Linked DNA regions of Oreochromis niloticus. The protein of the gene in region 1 purifies or fractionates together with the protein of each later gene. This does not show direct contact. Links are inferred from orthologs where the notes say so. Each region holds a gene or a part of one and is shown in the gene's direction. Other genes may lie near its edges. The genes, in order: kifbp and kif14.

Evidence for each region.
Region 2: the proteins of kifbp (region 1) and kif14 purify together in Homo sapiens (affinity purification with mass spectrometry; 3 studies listed by BioGRID and IntAct, counting the BioPlex papers as one, with this or other methods). This does not show direct contact. The link is inferred for Oreochromis niloticus from reciprocal best matches to the Homo sapiens genes KIFBP and KIF14.

The regions. Positions count from the first base shown.
Region 1 is NC_031965.2:25,095,033-25,102,407, reverse strand, and holds the start of kifbp (KIF-binding protein), read left to right. Parts: upstream 1-4,319; 5' UTR 4,320-4,353; coding exon 4,354-4,809; intron 4,810-5,111; coding exon 5,112-5,210; intron 5,211-5,346; coding exon 5,347-5,426; intron 5,427-5,513; coding exon 5,514-5,572; intron 5,573-5,709; coding exon 5,710-5,834; intron 5,835-7,375. UniProt on the Homo sapiens protein: Activator of KIF1B plus-end-directed microtubule motor activity. Required for organization of axonal microtubules, and axonal outgrowth and maintenance during peripheral and central nervous system development.
Region 2 is NC_031980.2:33,890,116-33,897,928, forward strand, and holds the start of kif14 (kinesin-like protein KIF14), read left to right. Parts: upstream 1-4,610; 5' UTR 4,611-4,865; coding exon 4,866-5,866; intron 5,867-6,023; coding exon 6,024-6,278; intron 6,279-6,416; coding exon 6,417-6,504; intron 6,505-6,608; coding exon 6,609-6,707; intron 6,708-6,830; coding exon 6,831-6,883; intron 6,884-6,981; coding exon 6,982-7,012; intron 7,013-7,207; coding exon 7,208-7,315; intron 7,316-7,457; coding exon 7,458-7,574; intron 7,575-7,774; coding exon 7,775-7,813. Other genes in the region: putative ATP-dependent RNA helicase DDX59, read left to right, coding at 1-477, 832-1,014, 1,129-1,218, 1,449-1,700, 2,729-2,881, 3,433-3,561, 3,660-3,920. UniProt on the Homo sapiens protein: Microtubule motor protein that binds to microtubules with high affinity through each tubulin heterodimer and has an ATPase activity. Plays a role in many processes like cell division, cytokinesis and also in cell proliferation and apoptosis.

The DNA.
Region 1 (7,375 bases):
TTTTCCCAGCCCTTTTCAGACACCGCTTCCTGTAGATGTCCTTTATGGCAGGAAGTGGTGCTCCGGCGATGCGCTGGGCAGTTTTCACGACCCTCTGCAACGCCTTCCGGTCCGAGGCAGAGCAGTTCCCGTACCAGACTGTTATACAGTTGGTCAGGATGCTCTCGATGGTGCAGCGGTAGAAGTTCACCAGGATGTCTGAGGACAGGTGGTTCTTCCTCAGAGTCCTCAAGAAGAAGAGGCGCTGGTGAGCCTTCTTGACCAGCTTGGAGCAGTTGGTCGTCCAGGTGAGATCCTCGGAGATGTGGACTCCCAGGAACTTGAAGCTGCTCACACGCTCCACAGCCGTCCCCTTAATGTGGATGGGTGGATGTGGGTCAGCATTCCTCCTGTAGTCCACGATGAGCTCCTTGGTCTTCTCGGTGTTAAGCAGCAGGTTGTTTGTGTCACACCACTCAGCCAGACGATGCACCTCCTCCCTGTAGGCGGTCTCATCGTTGTCACTGATGAGGCCAATCACCGTGGTGTACATGTCCCATACTTATGTGTTGTACCGAGTGAATCGACTGAAAGGGAACGAATAGTTATGTCTATAACTTCTGTTCCCTGAAGGAGAGGAACGAGGTACAACACAAGGTGGCCCCACTGAGCAGTTTGGCTCGTTGAAGAGCGGCTATCGAACTGAGGGATGACTGTGATGACAGCGGCTATATGTGCAGGCGGGGCCGTGCGCGTGTCATCACACGTCATCTGCCTTAAAGGCGTGAATAAAGGTTTCTTCAGCCAGGACACGCGAGGGCGTGATATCCCATACTTATGTGTTGTACCTCGTTCCTCTCCTTCAGGGAACAGAAGTTATAGACATAACTATTCGATTTTTTTTTTTAATTATTACTAATGATATAACATTGTCCAGACATGGCTGGTAAGGACATGAGGAGGAAACAGTAGGAGCTGTGTGAGGATACTAAAGGCAGTGGATCCCTCAGCAGCTGGATTACAAAGAGCACAGGTAACATTAGCACATGTACCAGTTGTTGGAGAGGTATTCCAGTATAAAAATAATAATAAGCACAACTGGAATGTTTTGCTTTTATAACATTTTTCTGTCATCATTTTAGTATAGATTAAATGCAGCAGTTGTTAGGTGTGGATAATTAAATAATAGTTTATTGCAATAGCAAGTTGTGCCTTGTTCTCAGATAGACAGCAAGTGGAGAGTGATATATGAAATGAGGGGATGGAAAGAAGAAGAGAAGCATAGTGATTCACAGGCAGAGCCTAGTTTATTTCTCACAGTTTTTTGTTGCTTTGTGGTTCCAAGCCCATTTTGTTATGTTCTTTGCATTTAGTTATTATCTCATGACACTTGTTTAATCAGCTACCATCTCTCCTATGAACATTTTAAGGTCTACAGTCTCAGATCAGCACAGCCCTGCCCTCCAGCACTATCAGCAGCAGGAGCCGCAGCAACCCCTCAACAGCAACATTGTACCCATCAGGTAAAACATAGGCTACGTTTGCTTTGCCTTGTTGCCACCTCACAACAGTGATGTAGTATGATGCGATCCCATATTAGATTCTTGATGAATGTGTGTTGTTGTTATTCAGCCTGGTTCAATGTGCCCCTTTTTAACTTTGAGCACCCGCCCCTTTAAACGTCTCTGCACGGCCCTGGTGAAGATCCTTCTAAAACATAATTTATCTTTATGCCTACAGCTATATCATATGCATCACCTCTAGAGAAGTTGTAAATAAGTAGGCATGGTAATGTAATAATGGTAATGATTATATTTGCTATTCATTACACAACTTATACACGGCTACTGACACTACACAAAAACTGACAACTTCACACATATTGACATGAAAAAAATCATATTTATATTAATAAATAAATAATCTGTTTTTTGATCTTTTGTATGTATTGCGCTTGATGTGTGTTATTCTTGTTGCAAAGTTGTTTCACCTCATGTGAATATGCTAGTGTGACAGCAAAATCATTGTTTCTTCAAAAATGATTTAAGTGAAGTGACCTTTTGATTTGACCATAACTGTAATTAAAATCTAAAGCTGCAATGGAACTCCGAAATGTGGGCGAGTAATGCTTTTAATGGAGTAAAACAGGAATAACTAGAAAATTTGCATTTCCTGCGAAAATGCTGTGTGGATGCCTTAACGCTGAAGCTGTCTGCTGAAAAGCTGAAAAAGATGAAAAGTTGCAAAAAGTTGTATGGTGGTGGAAAAAAAACGAAAGTCACCCTGAGCAGGATTTGAACCTGGCCCTCCTAGTCTAAAGGCAGCTACTCATCTCACTGAACCAAACTCATTCACATGAAGAAGAGGTGGAGAGACTGACAATTGTGCTGAAATTAGCAGAAGCTGCTGAGAATTGTACTGATGAGAGGTGAAAAGGCTGAAAATTTTGCAGAAAAGAGCAGAGTTTCTGCTAAAAAGAGTTTTTTTTCTGAAAACAGCCAAAAAAGGTAGAATTTGTGCTGAAAAGGCGTGAAAAAAATGAAAATTTTGCTGAAAAGGGGTGAAGAAGCTAAAGTATACCAAATCAAAGTATTTGTGCCAAAACATAGTATTTCTGCCATATTGTGGTGTTTGTGCCACAAAAGTTACTACATTACAACATGAATACGGATTAAAGATGAAAGAAACTGGCAACAAATTCCTCCACTACAAACCAGTCTGATACCACTTCTTTGCAGTGTTCACGTTTACTAAGGCACTACCCAAGAGGCGCCACAAAAGGGCACTCCAACACAACAGATGACCTATGTACACTGATGCACTTAGTAACAGTCAGCCTCCTTGAATTGGCAGAAATACTGTGATTTAGTAGTAATACTATAACATAACAGATATACTGTGATGTTGCAGACATAGTATGTTTTTGCACTACTCATTTGTAGTGAAAAAAAAAGGTTGACCAAGGTGGGATTGAACCCACGACCTTTGAGCTGCAGAGCCGTGTCATTACTGATTGCGCCACCTGGGAAGGGGGCGGGCGGCTGAAAAACAAAGACATCAGCAATCAGAAATAGATCGCGGTGAGAGGCGAAAAGCGCCGTTTTTTGGAGTTACAAAACGTCATGTAACTTGTACTGGGTGAATCAGCGCACTTTGGCGTACTTTGACTGCGATTTTCATTGCTCTTTGTCCCTCCGTCGCGGAGATATGACGAGAGAAGAAACGGCTTCATTTTCAGAGTGTGAAAACTGAGAGGAGGACAGATTTCCACCCCTCAAACAAACGTAATTTATGGCTCAACGGTAAGATAATTGTAAAAACTGCTTCCACTGTGAGTGTCAGCAGTGTCTGAAGATATATTGGCACAAGCCTCATGTCCTAACTTTGTTTTGTTTAAGAGATATGACGATTTGAAAATGCCTCCCGTTACAGAATTTCAGCTCTGAATTTCAAAACCTCCCCATAGACTTTGAATGGGGAGTAACCAGACCATGTGTCACTTCGAGGCAAATTGCGAAAAAACGGTAAATCTCACAATAAAGATAGTGACATTGTCTGAAAGCCAGCAAAAATACCTACGTTTTGATGTATAATTTGTGGGGGTTGAGTGGAAATTGAGTGAGAAGCAAGAAGTTGTTCAGACATGAAGAGAAAATTCAGAACAGACCAGCGCTCACTCTGAGTTAATTGTAGAGCTGGGCGATATAAGATTTTTTCATATCACGATATGTTTTTTTCATTTCTGGCGATAACGATATATATCACGATATAAGCCAAATAACTATATTTGTAAGATTTAAATGTGCCGTTGCTCACAAGTAAAATGTGAAATAATCAGCAGCTTGTTTTGATTTAAATATTTATTTCCCATAATAAGTTCAACAGGGTAGATGTACTTAAGGAACATAAGACTTCAGTTTCAGATAAATAAAGGCAAATATTGCAGTGTACATACCTTAATAAAAACAAGCAGGTGAGATGTTAGAACGCTTTTATTTCTATTCTAGTGGACACTCAATACTATAGACAGCTGCTGGGGTTTCTTTAACCTGAGTAGTGAGAAGTCCGCGAGCGGGTGGGGGGGGGGGTTGAAAACGATGTGCCGGGAGTCCGCTGTTGAGTTTTGGACGAAATGCATTCTGGGATATTTAGCTGTCCCAAGTCCACACCGATGCATGCTCGATAAAACGGGCGGATCGAGAACACATCCGGGACTTTTTGCGTACTTCGAATTGGAATAGTACTTGGTCTCCGACTGATGACGTATCACGAGTACACGAGAACGCAAGTACGCACAAGTACGCACAAGTACGCATATTGATAAACGCCCAACAAGAAGCACGCAGCTGCGTCAGAACGCCTGAGAGGACCAACATGGCGTCCTTCAACAGCAACGAATGGAGAGCTATCTGCGACAAATTCACGAACGCCCAAAATCTCACAGAAATAGAATCACGAAACGATAAAGAAAATGACCCCTTCCGCTCTAAGTACAAAGCCAGGGAGCTTCTCAGAGAGATATACTGCTCGCTGAAGAATTTTGAAGCCGGCGAAGGTGAAGAGGAGGGCGGCGGAGAGAGCGGCGAACAACGGCCGACAGAGCAGCCGGTGGACGGGCAGAGAGAGGACCTGTTCGGCCAGGGCTTCAGCGGTGATTCACCAGCCGGGTTGCGGGCCGCAAGACTCGGAGCTGTGGAGTACTACCTGGGCGTCAACCATGTGGACACGGAGGAGCTTTCAGCCGGGCAGGAGCACCTAATGAACTGCATGAAGCTGCTGGAGAGATGCAGAGTGTCGTCCCCGAATGTGTCCCTGTTTATCCAAGTTAGGGTAACGTTGATCGTTTCTTTCTTACAATAATACAAAGCTGCTATTTAAAACAAACAAATAAATAAATAAAAATTACACTACATACAGAAGTTATGTTATGATCACTGATAAGAATATGTATTAAACGTGTGACATGTGATTATAATGCTAAGGATGATTTTTGAAAACACTCCATCAGAGTGTTTGTGAAGCGTTATAAATAAAGCACTGCTACATGTTTTTAAGAGTCACACTGCTATAGTAGTACCATCAGATGATGCATGATCATTTGATGCTCATGTGTTGTCTCCTTGTGTTTTCAGAACCAGCTAGGTATCCTCTGGGCAGGCCGGGATGAGACAGAGACTGCACAGGGCTTCCTCGAAACTGCAGAATCCATCTATCAACGTTACATGAAGGAGGCAAGGCTGATTTCCTGAATAAAAGTTTATTTTTAAAAAATGAGGATTGATTGAAATATTAGTTTTCAGGAAGGTAATGCTGCCCCCACAGTATGGCTGCAATCACAATAGGTAAATCCTCTTCTTCTTTTTTCAGGACGGCAGTCCTCCCACTGATATGACAGAGTACTTTGCTGCTGAGGAGAACCTGCTGACTCACCAGGAAAGGATTAAGAGGTAACTTCCACAGCAAATTTCCAGGATTTTGCTATTTCCTTGCTTTTATTTAGTCCCTTTGTCTCTCTCTGCTTTCCTTGTGTATAGGTTTGAGTTGGCCTACACCCATACCATGTACTACCTTGCTCAAGTTTATAAAAACCTGGGTGAGTATGAGATCATTTAAGGATAATACCCACCAAAAAAAATTACACTGATGAAACAACAAGAAATTGCATCTGACCCCTATTTAGCTATTTAAATTACTTGTAATAACTATAATAACTATAGTTTTGTCTCTCAGGTCAAACTGAGCGTGCCGCTACCTACTGCCACACAACCCTGCAGAGACAGCTACAGTTAAATCAGTTTACTCCAATGGAGTGGGCTCTAAATGCTGCTACACTATCCCAGTATTACATCACTAAGGTAAGCATATAGCCAGCTTAAAGTCATTTATAGACATTTGATCTGCAACCTAAGATATTCTGCATGTTATATAAAATGCTTTTTCTTTTAAAAGTGCTGCATGCAGTATTCACAACCACTAGATGTCACATAGGAGTTGCTCAGAATGTGACAGATGATGGTAGCAAGAGTAAAAAGGGAGGTTTAACAAGATGGGAGTGAGACCTGCTGTGTTTGGAGCTGATGGCAGTGCCGAGCGGAAGATGCTCAGATTTTCATCAGTAGTATGAACGTGATTAGAAATGAATATAATACAGGTTTGAGTTAGAGAGGCAAGGCTGAGATGCTTTGGACACATGCAGGACATGTTAATTCATTGATTTATATATCGTGTCGATGAAAATCTCATTTTTTAGCGTCCTGGTCTGGACTCTGCCATCTTGTTTATAAAGTGCAGGGTGGGAAGTCACGAGTTGTGTGGAAAGCTAACAGGAACTTGCATACTATAGCGTACACACACAGCCAGATCAGAAGCTTGTAGTAAGAAGAAAGACTGTGTCTTATCCAGGTCATTTCAGCACTAACCCTGAGTTTTCTGCACTACAAAGCTGGTTCACTTCTTACCGGGGTAACTTGCCATGGTAGCTTATACTGTAACCTCGTCTGGAGCAGGCTAAATTCCAGATTAGAGATCAACAGCTCTAAAATCACCGCCTACTGATCAGTCAGTTCTCCAGAACATAGCGTCACCATTCCTAAAATTCCTTGGATCTCTGCAGGGAGAGTAGGTTTGGTCTAAAGTTTTTCATCACCATCTAAAGTCATTGTGTTTCTGATTGAGGAATAAATATAGATTCTTACATGCAGATTTACTGTATGTATTATTTTCTGTTGACAGGGAACAATTTTAAAACTCTTGCATTGTTGTGTAGGCATTACTGTCTGATCCTAAAGCAGGACCCCTACAATGCCCTTGGTGACATCATATCAAGTCTATGTTTGATTTCTGTTTTTATATTTAATCTTTACTCTCAAACCCTTAAACAGTACTGAGTCTGCAGCTGAGAGAATAATGTCCAGTTTAAGCCATCCCTTACTAGAACCACTGAAAGAAGTTCAAACTCAGTCTGGCATTGTCACAGGAATATGCACATGTTAATATGATAATTTATAAAATGTGTAAATGTTGTTATACTTGATTCTAATCTGCTGCTAAGTCTCTTTTACACGGACTGAATTGCAGCTATTAGAACACAGAACACACATGAAGAGTACCTATTTGATCTGCCAAAAAAACTAAGCACATTTGCTTAATTAAGCTATAGGTCAGTAAACTTTAAACTGGCTCTGTTTAAACAGTAAAGTTTCAGAGCTATAATGTGCAGCTGTCACCTAAGAAATAAACGCAGCACCATGAATCCACTCGACAACTAAAAAACTTGAACCAAAATGATTATTTTACTGCTCTGTGCACTAACGATTAACCGTTAACAAATTGCTGCAACATTCATCTTTTGTTGTTTCTGCAAAAGTGTTGGATTTTACTGGCACAGTTTTTAGAT
Region 2 (7,813 bases), on another chromosome or scaffold:
ACAGATAATGATGTTTGCAGTCTCGAATGCAAAGCCAGCCATTTAGTGCAAATGGGCATGGGGACTGGGGCAGATGCATTTATGCAAAAGGACCAAAATAGAGATGAAATGACTGTTCAAAGTCAACAGCCAGCAGCTGACCCTGGTAGGGTGGTTGAAAGTGAACCGGGCTACTTCTACAGGGAAGATCGGTTCATATCAGGCCTAACAGAGGAGCAAGTGCAACGAATTAAACAGGAGCTGGGCATAGAAACCCAGGGGAGAGATGTCGCAAGACCTGTTGTTGAATTTGAGCACTGCAGCTTCCCTGCCACATTAAGTGGTAACCTGAAAAAGGCCGGGTATGACACACCTACCCCAGTCCAGATGCAGATGGTCCCTGTTGGTCTCACAGGCAGGGATGTGATTGCCAGTGCAGACACAGGATCGGGGAAGACTGTAGCCTTTCTGCTGCCAGTGGTCGTGAGGGCACTCGAGGTACAGTATTTAAGCTAATATGTCACATACAAATGCCATCAAGTTAAATTATATTTGAGGAGGCAGACATTTCTACAGCCTGGATAAATAGCACCACAGCCCAGATCTAAATATGTAAATCTGGACTGAATCTGCTTTTGTATCAAGCGTTTGCCCTCCTGAGCTACCCCTTAGCAAGACACTAGACTCCAGTATCTGACAGAAAAGCTGCTCCGTAGTTGCCAATGACCTCTGCAGATAAAAGAGTCGAATTGAATAAATGTATTCTCAAAAAGACACAAACAATTTTACATTTAAAAATTCACAAATCCTCTCTTGGTGACATGCAGTCTGTAACATTGCTTCTGCTTTCAGAAATCAGCACACAGTGTGGGCAGCCCTGTGGCTCTGATCCTGACCCCCACCAGGGAGTTGGCCATTCAGATAGAGAGACAGGCCAAGGAACTTGTGATGGGACTCCCCAACATGAGAACTGCCCTGCTGGTCGGAGGCATGCCGCTTCCCCCACAGCTCCACCGCCTGAAGAGCAGCATCAAAGTACAGTCTCTGTTTTATTTTTCTTAAACAATAATTTCCTCCTGCTGCAGTCAAAGCTTGAGGCTGTACATTTCTCCCATGCCATGGTTTTGTTCATTTCTCAATCTCCTTTAGATTGTCATCGCTACTCCTGGGCGGCTCATCGAAATCTTGAAGCAGAAAGAGCTGAAGCTTGACAAAGTGAAGATTGTGGTGGTTGACGAGGTAGGACAAACATACTGAAATTCACAATTGACAAAAACTCTGCACTTTAAGACAAAGTAATTCAGTTCAATTCAATTTATATAGCTTTAAGGATTAGTAATGTAAAAGTTGTATTTTAGAACAGACAACATAATGACAGCTTTTGAAAGTATTCATCTATGCATTGTGTAGAAATCATTCAAATCAGTTTTGAGAGTCCTGCAACATGAAAGTTGTGCTGCATCCTGTAGGTGGACACTATGTTGAAGATGGGCTTCCAACAGCAGGTTCTGGAGGTTCTTGAGCAAGTCCCAGAAGAACATCAGACTCTTCTGGCGTCGGCCACCATCCCCACCGGCACGGAGGAGCTGGCCGCCCGGTTGGTCCGTGACCCTGTACGTATCACTATTGGCGAGAAGAACCAGCCGTGCGCCAACGTCCGACAGATCCTGCTTTGGGTAGAGGAACCTTCCAAGAAGAAGAAGCTATTTGAGATTCTCAACGTAGGTCATAGATGAGATGTTTTTCAATCTTAAGTTTGAGTTTTTAGATTAAAAATCATGAAGTCTTACAAGGTTCATTGTAAGTGGAGTATTCCTGAACACACTTCCACTGCCAGCATATGGTTTCTTTTACTGGTCAGTAGATATTTTTAGTTTTTGAATTCAGACCAGGTCTAATTGGACTTTGCACTCCAAGAAAGTACTTTAGAAGAAAAACACAAAGTTTTTCATTAGATCAGTTTTAGGTTACAGTTTATTTACTGCTCAGTCTTGACACGCACTGGTACCAGCTTGGTATTTTAACAGCTGGCTATTGTTGGTGGGAATATTTTAAAGTCCAATGAAGAACCAGCCTCCCCTTCTGCCATATTTAGACAGCCACTGTGGACACTCTGGCCTCTATCTGAAGGAAACGGGTGGGCACAGTGCCATGGTACCACTCCAGGAATCCCAGCAATAGCTTGCACTGTTTATATAAAACAGAAATGGTCGACTTTAATTAACTTGAAGGAGAAAAGTGCTCTTAGGTCGTAGTTTGAGTAACATAAGACTCTTTTCTTATAACTCAGTAACTCATAGTGTAAAGCTATTGTCTCACGAGCAGTGAGTGAATTGTGGAACTGCAGAGCTACAAAACTGGGATTTGGATGAGACACGACAAGGAAACCTGGAAAAACTGGAATGGACATGACTCAAAAACTAATCAAAGCAGTTGCTTCATATATAGCAGCTCTTACAGCATAGTGCATAATAGTTGACTCAAGATTACAATAAGTTCTCCCAAAGAACAGTAAAATTAAGAAGGTGTGATTGGGAGTATGCATTTCTTCCTGACTTGTCAAGTTACAGTTACTGCTACCTGTTGGAGGGCTGGAATGTATCCAGATGTGTAGATGCCTCTACAGGCACATAGTATACATAAAGTATTAGTTATATAGCATTTTTGGTAAGATTTTATATAGAAAATATGTAAAATGTAAAAAAAAAAAAAAATATCTTACTGCTATTTTAATTTTTTCACTTTTCAGGATGGTAAGCTGTACCAGCCTCCAGTGGTAGTGTTTGTAGAGAGTAAACTCGGCGCTGATCTGCTCTGCGAGGCAGTCGCCAAGGTGACGGGCCTCACTGCCGTGGCAATCCACTCTGACAAGAGCCAGTGGGAGCGCAACCGCATCCTCCGGGTGAGACCAGTGGGAAAACATGCACAGGGAAGAAAAACCAAACAATGCTTCCACGTTTGGTGTCCTAAAGTGTTTATCTTCAACAGCACAGACAGATACCCACAGCTGAGGCTTTCCCCAAGAATCCAGCTTTAGTCTGCATGTCCAATGCAAAGAGACACAATGCAGAAAAAAACACTGTTTTTCCATTTATGTGCTTTAGTTCTTAAATACTGACACCTTCTTAACAGGTGACTGAAGAGGTGTGGATTTATTGATACAGTCAGACAAGGCCTGAAACAATCCAGAATAAATCTAAATTATTAGGAGTCAAAGTGATTTATAATCCCAGAGTCCCACTTTTAGAGTATGTAATTTTACTGGCTGATTATATCAGACATAAATATGCTGAATTATTTTATGGACACCTCGGTTTGTTATCTCTGCTGTGTGTAAAATATAATTATGGGAACTACATGCTTATAAAAATAGGCTTGCCAGTAAATGCAGTTCATTATTAATGTCTGCTGTATATGGTACATACAGACTTCTAATTGTGGTTTTCTCTTCAGGGTCTTCTGGATGGTGACTTTGAGGTAGTGATCAGTACAGGTGTTCTGGGCAGAGGGCTGGACCTGGTCAATGTCAGACTGGTGGTTAACTTTGATATGCCAAACACAATGGATGAGTATGTCCATCAGGTTAGTCAGCACTGCTTAGTATCACTTTTTTGTAGTTTCATTAGGAAAACCTTTCAATTACGACAGCTAATCTAATATTACCTTTTTTCCCCATCTAGGTGGGCAGAGCAGGTCGGCTGGGACACAGAGGAACAGCCATCACTCTTCTCAACAACAACAACAAACGGCTGTTCCTGGAGGTGGTGAATCGAGTCAAACCCACTGGCTCCATTTTGCCCCCTCAGCTCTTAAACTCACCGCACCTCCACGAACAGCAAAGGAGGGAAAAGCAGAGAAACAAGAAGGACCACGAGGATTCACTGGTTACCACAAATAACCTCCTGGACATCATAAAGAAACATGACCGTCGCAAGAAGTAGCAACTTCTTCCAGTCTTTCATGAAAAGTTGCTTATTTATTGTGTAACTTGTAAATGTTTAATTTGTATATTTTGTTTATAAATAAATACATGAAATGTGTTTTCTATATCTGTTTTTTTAGATCTGTGTTTTGTATGGTTAGTGCAAAGTGACTTAATCAAAAAGAGAAATGCTCCACACAATCTTCCACATTTTTCCGGGCTTAGAACTGGCACTAGTGGCACACAGTGAGAGGAGCATGAAAGGGGCACTGAAAGAAGAATAACAATCCTCATTAATCCAGACTTGAACCAAGGTCCAGATGCCTTTGAGCAAGGCATTGAACGCACCCTGCCTTTTGTACAAACTTTAATCAGTCTGATTTTATTCTCATTTATTATTCCAACTAGAAGGTAATTTTTTCTCAAAGTTTCTCTGGAGGTTTTATTTATATCTCACTCCCTTCCTCAGTAGATTTAGGGAGTTTGAGACATTTCGTTTATTTTAACGGTAAAGGACTAAATTTAGATGGGAGCTTATGACTAGCACATTTTTTCCACTGGTACGCAATCTCTGAGATGACTATCGGTCACAGTTTATTTATTGTGGCTCGGTATTGTGCTGCCATCTAGCGGTATCATAAAGTGCCTACAGGCCGCGACCATGACGTGACGTAGCACTTTCAGAGAATCCAGCCAATCAGCTGCCAGTGACGGTGACGATTTGAAATTGAAGCGGGTAGAGGCGGAAGCGAGGAGGAGAACATAAACAAAAGAAGTTTTTTTTTTCGCAAGTGCAAGTAATAATTTATTCGAATGGATTTTTATTTTCCTTTAACTAACATATGGAGTCATATTTACGTCCGATTTACGTGGTTTTTAAATGTAGTTGTTCGTGTAAAGTGCATCTGCCGTTAATTCGCCTCTCTCGTAATTACACCGTTTAGGTTTCTAACAGTCCACAGCCATGTCGTTATTTAGCGTGCAAGCGAGGAAACACACCGCTTATTACGACAATCTGCTGTCAACATCAACGTCCAGGACACCCGGCCGAGAGCGAAAGATAGCCGACACGACGCTGGGCAAAAGTGTGACCGCATCAGGGGAGTCTGCATGTGAAGACAGCAGGTCATCAGATAAAAGCCGCCCGGTGAACAGGACGTATGTCGTCTCTGCCCTGTCAAAGAGCGGCAGCGGGCAGCAGACCCCTTACCGAGCTCGGCTCACCCTACAAAGACGGTCAAGGAGGAAGACCGGGGCCGAAACGGCGGAACAAACGATGACAGACAGTAGCCAAAGCACCACAGCAGCTCCGGAGAAGAGACTGACTCTGCAGCGCAGGACCAGGACTCCCTCCATGGACAAGAGCGGACGTGGACAGCCTGGTGGCCTGCAGTCAACTCCCAAAGTTCTCAGTGAACCAAACGGGAGGACACCTGGTTTATTCAGGTCTACGAGCTTAAGAGAAACTGCGACTCATGTGCAAACACAAGGGAGGTTTGCACAGAACAAGACCTCCTCCTCTTCTTCATCTTCAAGTAGAAACACAGACGAGACCCAGACATTTAAAACGCCGACCAGAAAGACCCCGTTTGAGAGAATCGCTGCCAAACGAGACGTGTTTGAGAGACTGGCAGGAAAAGAAGCTCCCAAGCCAGTGTTGGTCAAATCTGCCAGTCTGGAAAGGCCCAAACCCCGAGCACAGCAAGCCGAAAACACTAAACCCGTCTCGGCTCCTCGGATCAGCAAGACGACCTCAGGTGTGCGAAGACCTGACACGACGCTGCAGGTGATAAAGACAAACACCTCGAACCAAAAGGGAGACGTGACCCAGGTCAGGACATCCGATCCTGCTCCTCCTGAACAGATCCTGCCCAGTACCAGTGAGGGTCTGAAGCAGCAGGACTTGCTTAAAATGGAAAACAGTGCTGTTACCGTGGCTGTGCGTGTTCGCCCCTTCAGTGCCAGGTTAGTGTTTAACTGCTGGGTGACTGAGAAGCAGGCCCCCGTGTCAGTATATTAAAGTCTGGTTCTGGAAAATCTGTGTATAAAACACTGGCATGCTACTTGTTTAAAGAAAGAGAAACAACACATTTCTGAAGTTTTGTGTTCTGCTCTATTACAGGGAGAAAGCTGAGAAGTCCTCACAGGTCATCTTCATGAATGGCCAGGAGACTGTTGTCCAGCATCCAGAGTCCAGGCAGAGCTACTCCTTCACCTACGACTTCTCTTTCTGCTCAGTGGATGCCAGCGACTCCAACTTTGCCTGCCAGCAGACCGTGTATGAGACGCTGGCCAAGCCTCTGCTGCTGAGGGCCTTTGAAGGATTTAACACCTGCCTGTTTGCCTATGGCCAGACAGGTTCTGGTAAATCATACACGTGAGTGGACTCACTTTTCATTTACATCAGTGTTCTCACTTATGTGGTCATGTTTTTTTTGTTTTTTGTTGTTGTTGTTTTTTTTACTTTTGTACTGTAATCTGTCACTTTGATGTGTTAAGACTGATTGTTTTGCAGGATGATGGGTTTTGAGGAGGAGGTAGGGGTGATCCCAAAATTCTGCCACGAGCTTTTTTCCAAACTGGCCTCAATAAAAAGTGAAGAGGTAAGCTCTCTTTTTGTTTTTGTTTTTTTTTACATTTCTATTCCAATTTCATTTTTATCTGAAAAATAATTAAATGATCTGTTTGGGTCCCTTTTGAATCTCAGGTCAAATGTCATGTAGAGATGAGCTACTTTGAAGTGTACAATGAGAAGATCCATGACCTGCTGGTGACCAGAGAAGAACCAAACCAGAGGAGGATGCCCGTGAGTAGTTTGCTGTTGAGTGACACTCATCCCTGGCACGTGTTTTTATCTCTAACTTGCCACTGTGGTTGACTTACCCCGGGGGAAAAATGTAGAAAACCTTTGTTTGGATTTGTTTTCCAGCTGAGGGTGAGAGAGCATCCGATCCACGGGCCTTATGTCGCTGAGCTCTCAGCGTAAGAAAATCCCGTCTTTCTCTCTTTATTCGCTGAAAGCTTGAACATTCTTGCATGGTATGTTTTTCAGAATTGCTCAGCTTGCTATTTCTTCACAGGAATGTGGTGCGCTCTTACAATGATGTTCAGGTAAGATGAACCAGTTGTCTTTTTATACTCTCCTGTTAGTGGGTGCTTTCAAGAACAAGCTAGGTCTTTAGTGTCAAGCAGACAAAAAGCCTGTTAACCGAATCTAAGAGGGTTGTCATGGAAATGAATATCTTCAAGTGAGATTTCACACAGAGAATCAATAATAATTTAAAGTACTTTTTCCTTCTTCTTTAGGGCTGGCTGGAGCTCGGGAATAAGCAGAGAGCCACGGCGGCCACAGGAATGAATGACAAGAGCTCCAGATCTCACTCTGTCTTCACCTTGGTCATGACCCAGACTAAGGTATGGACTCTTCACTGTGTATTTACACCTCTTTTCCCTCTTTGAGTTTTTACGTAAAAAGAATACAACGTTAATACGGGGGGAGTGGATGAATCGTGCTTACATTAAGTGCCTGTGAATCCATTTGTGTTTGTGTGTGCAGACTGAGCTTGTGGAAGGAGAGGAACATGACCACAGTATCACCAGCAGGATCAACTTGATCGATCTGGCAGGCAGCGAACGCTGTCGCTCTGCCCAGACCAGTGGAGACCGACTCAGGGTGAGTACATGTTAACTACCATCTGTGGTTAAGTCATTAAGCAGTTAATCATTGCTTGTTGGAGATTTTTAGGTGAACCACGGTATATAATTTTTATCATTCACAAATCAGAGTACAGTCTCTTGTCTCAGAAGGCTCTGGTTTCTTTGCATTGTTGGCCTGTTCATTTATTTTTTTTATGCAAAATTGTGTCTTTATAGGAAGGCGCCAGCATCAACAAATCACTGCTAACGCTCGGA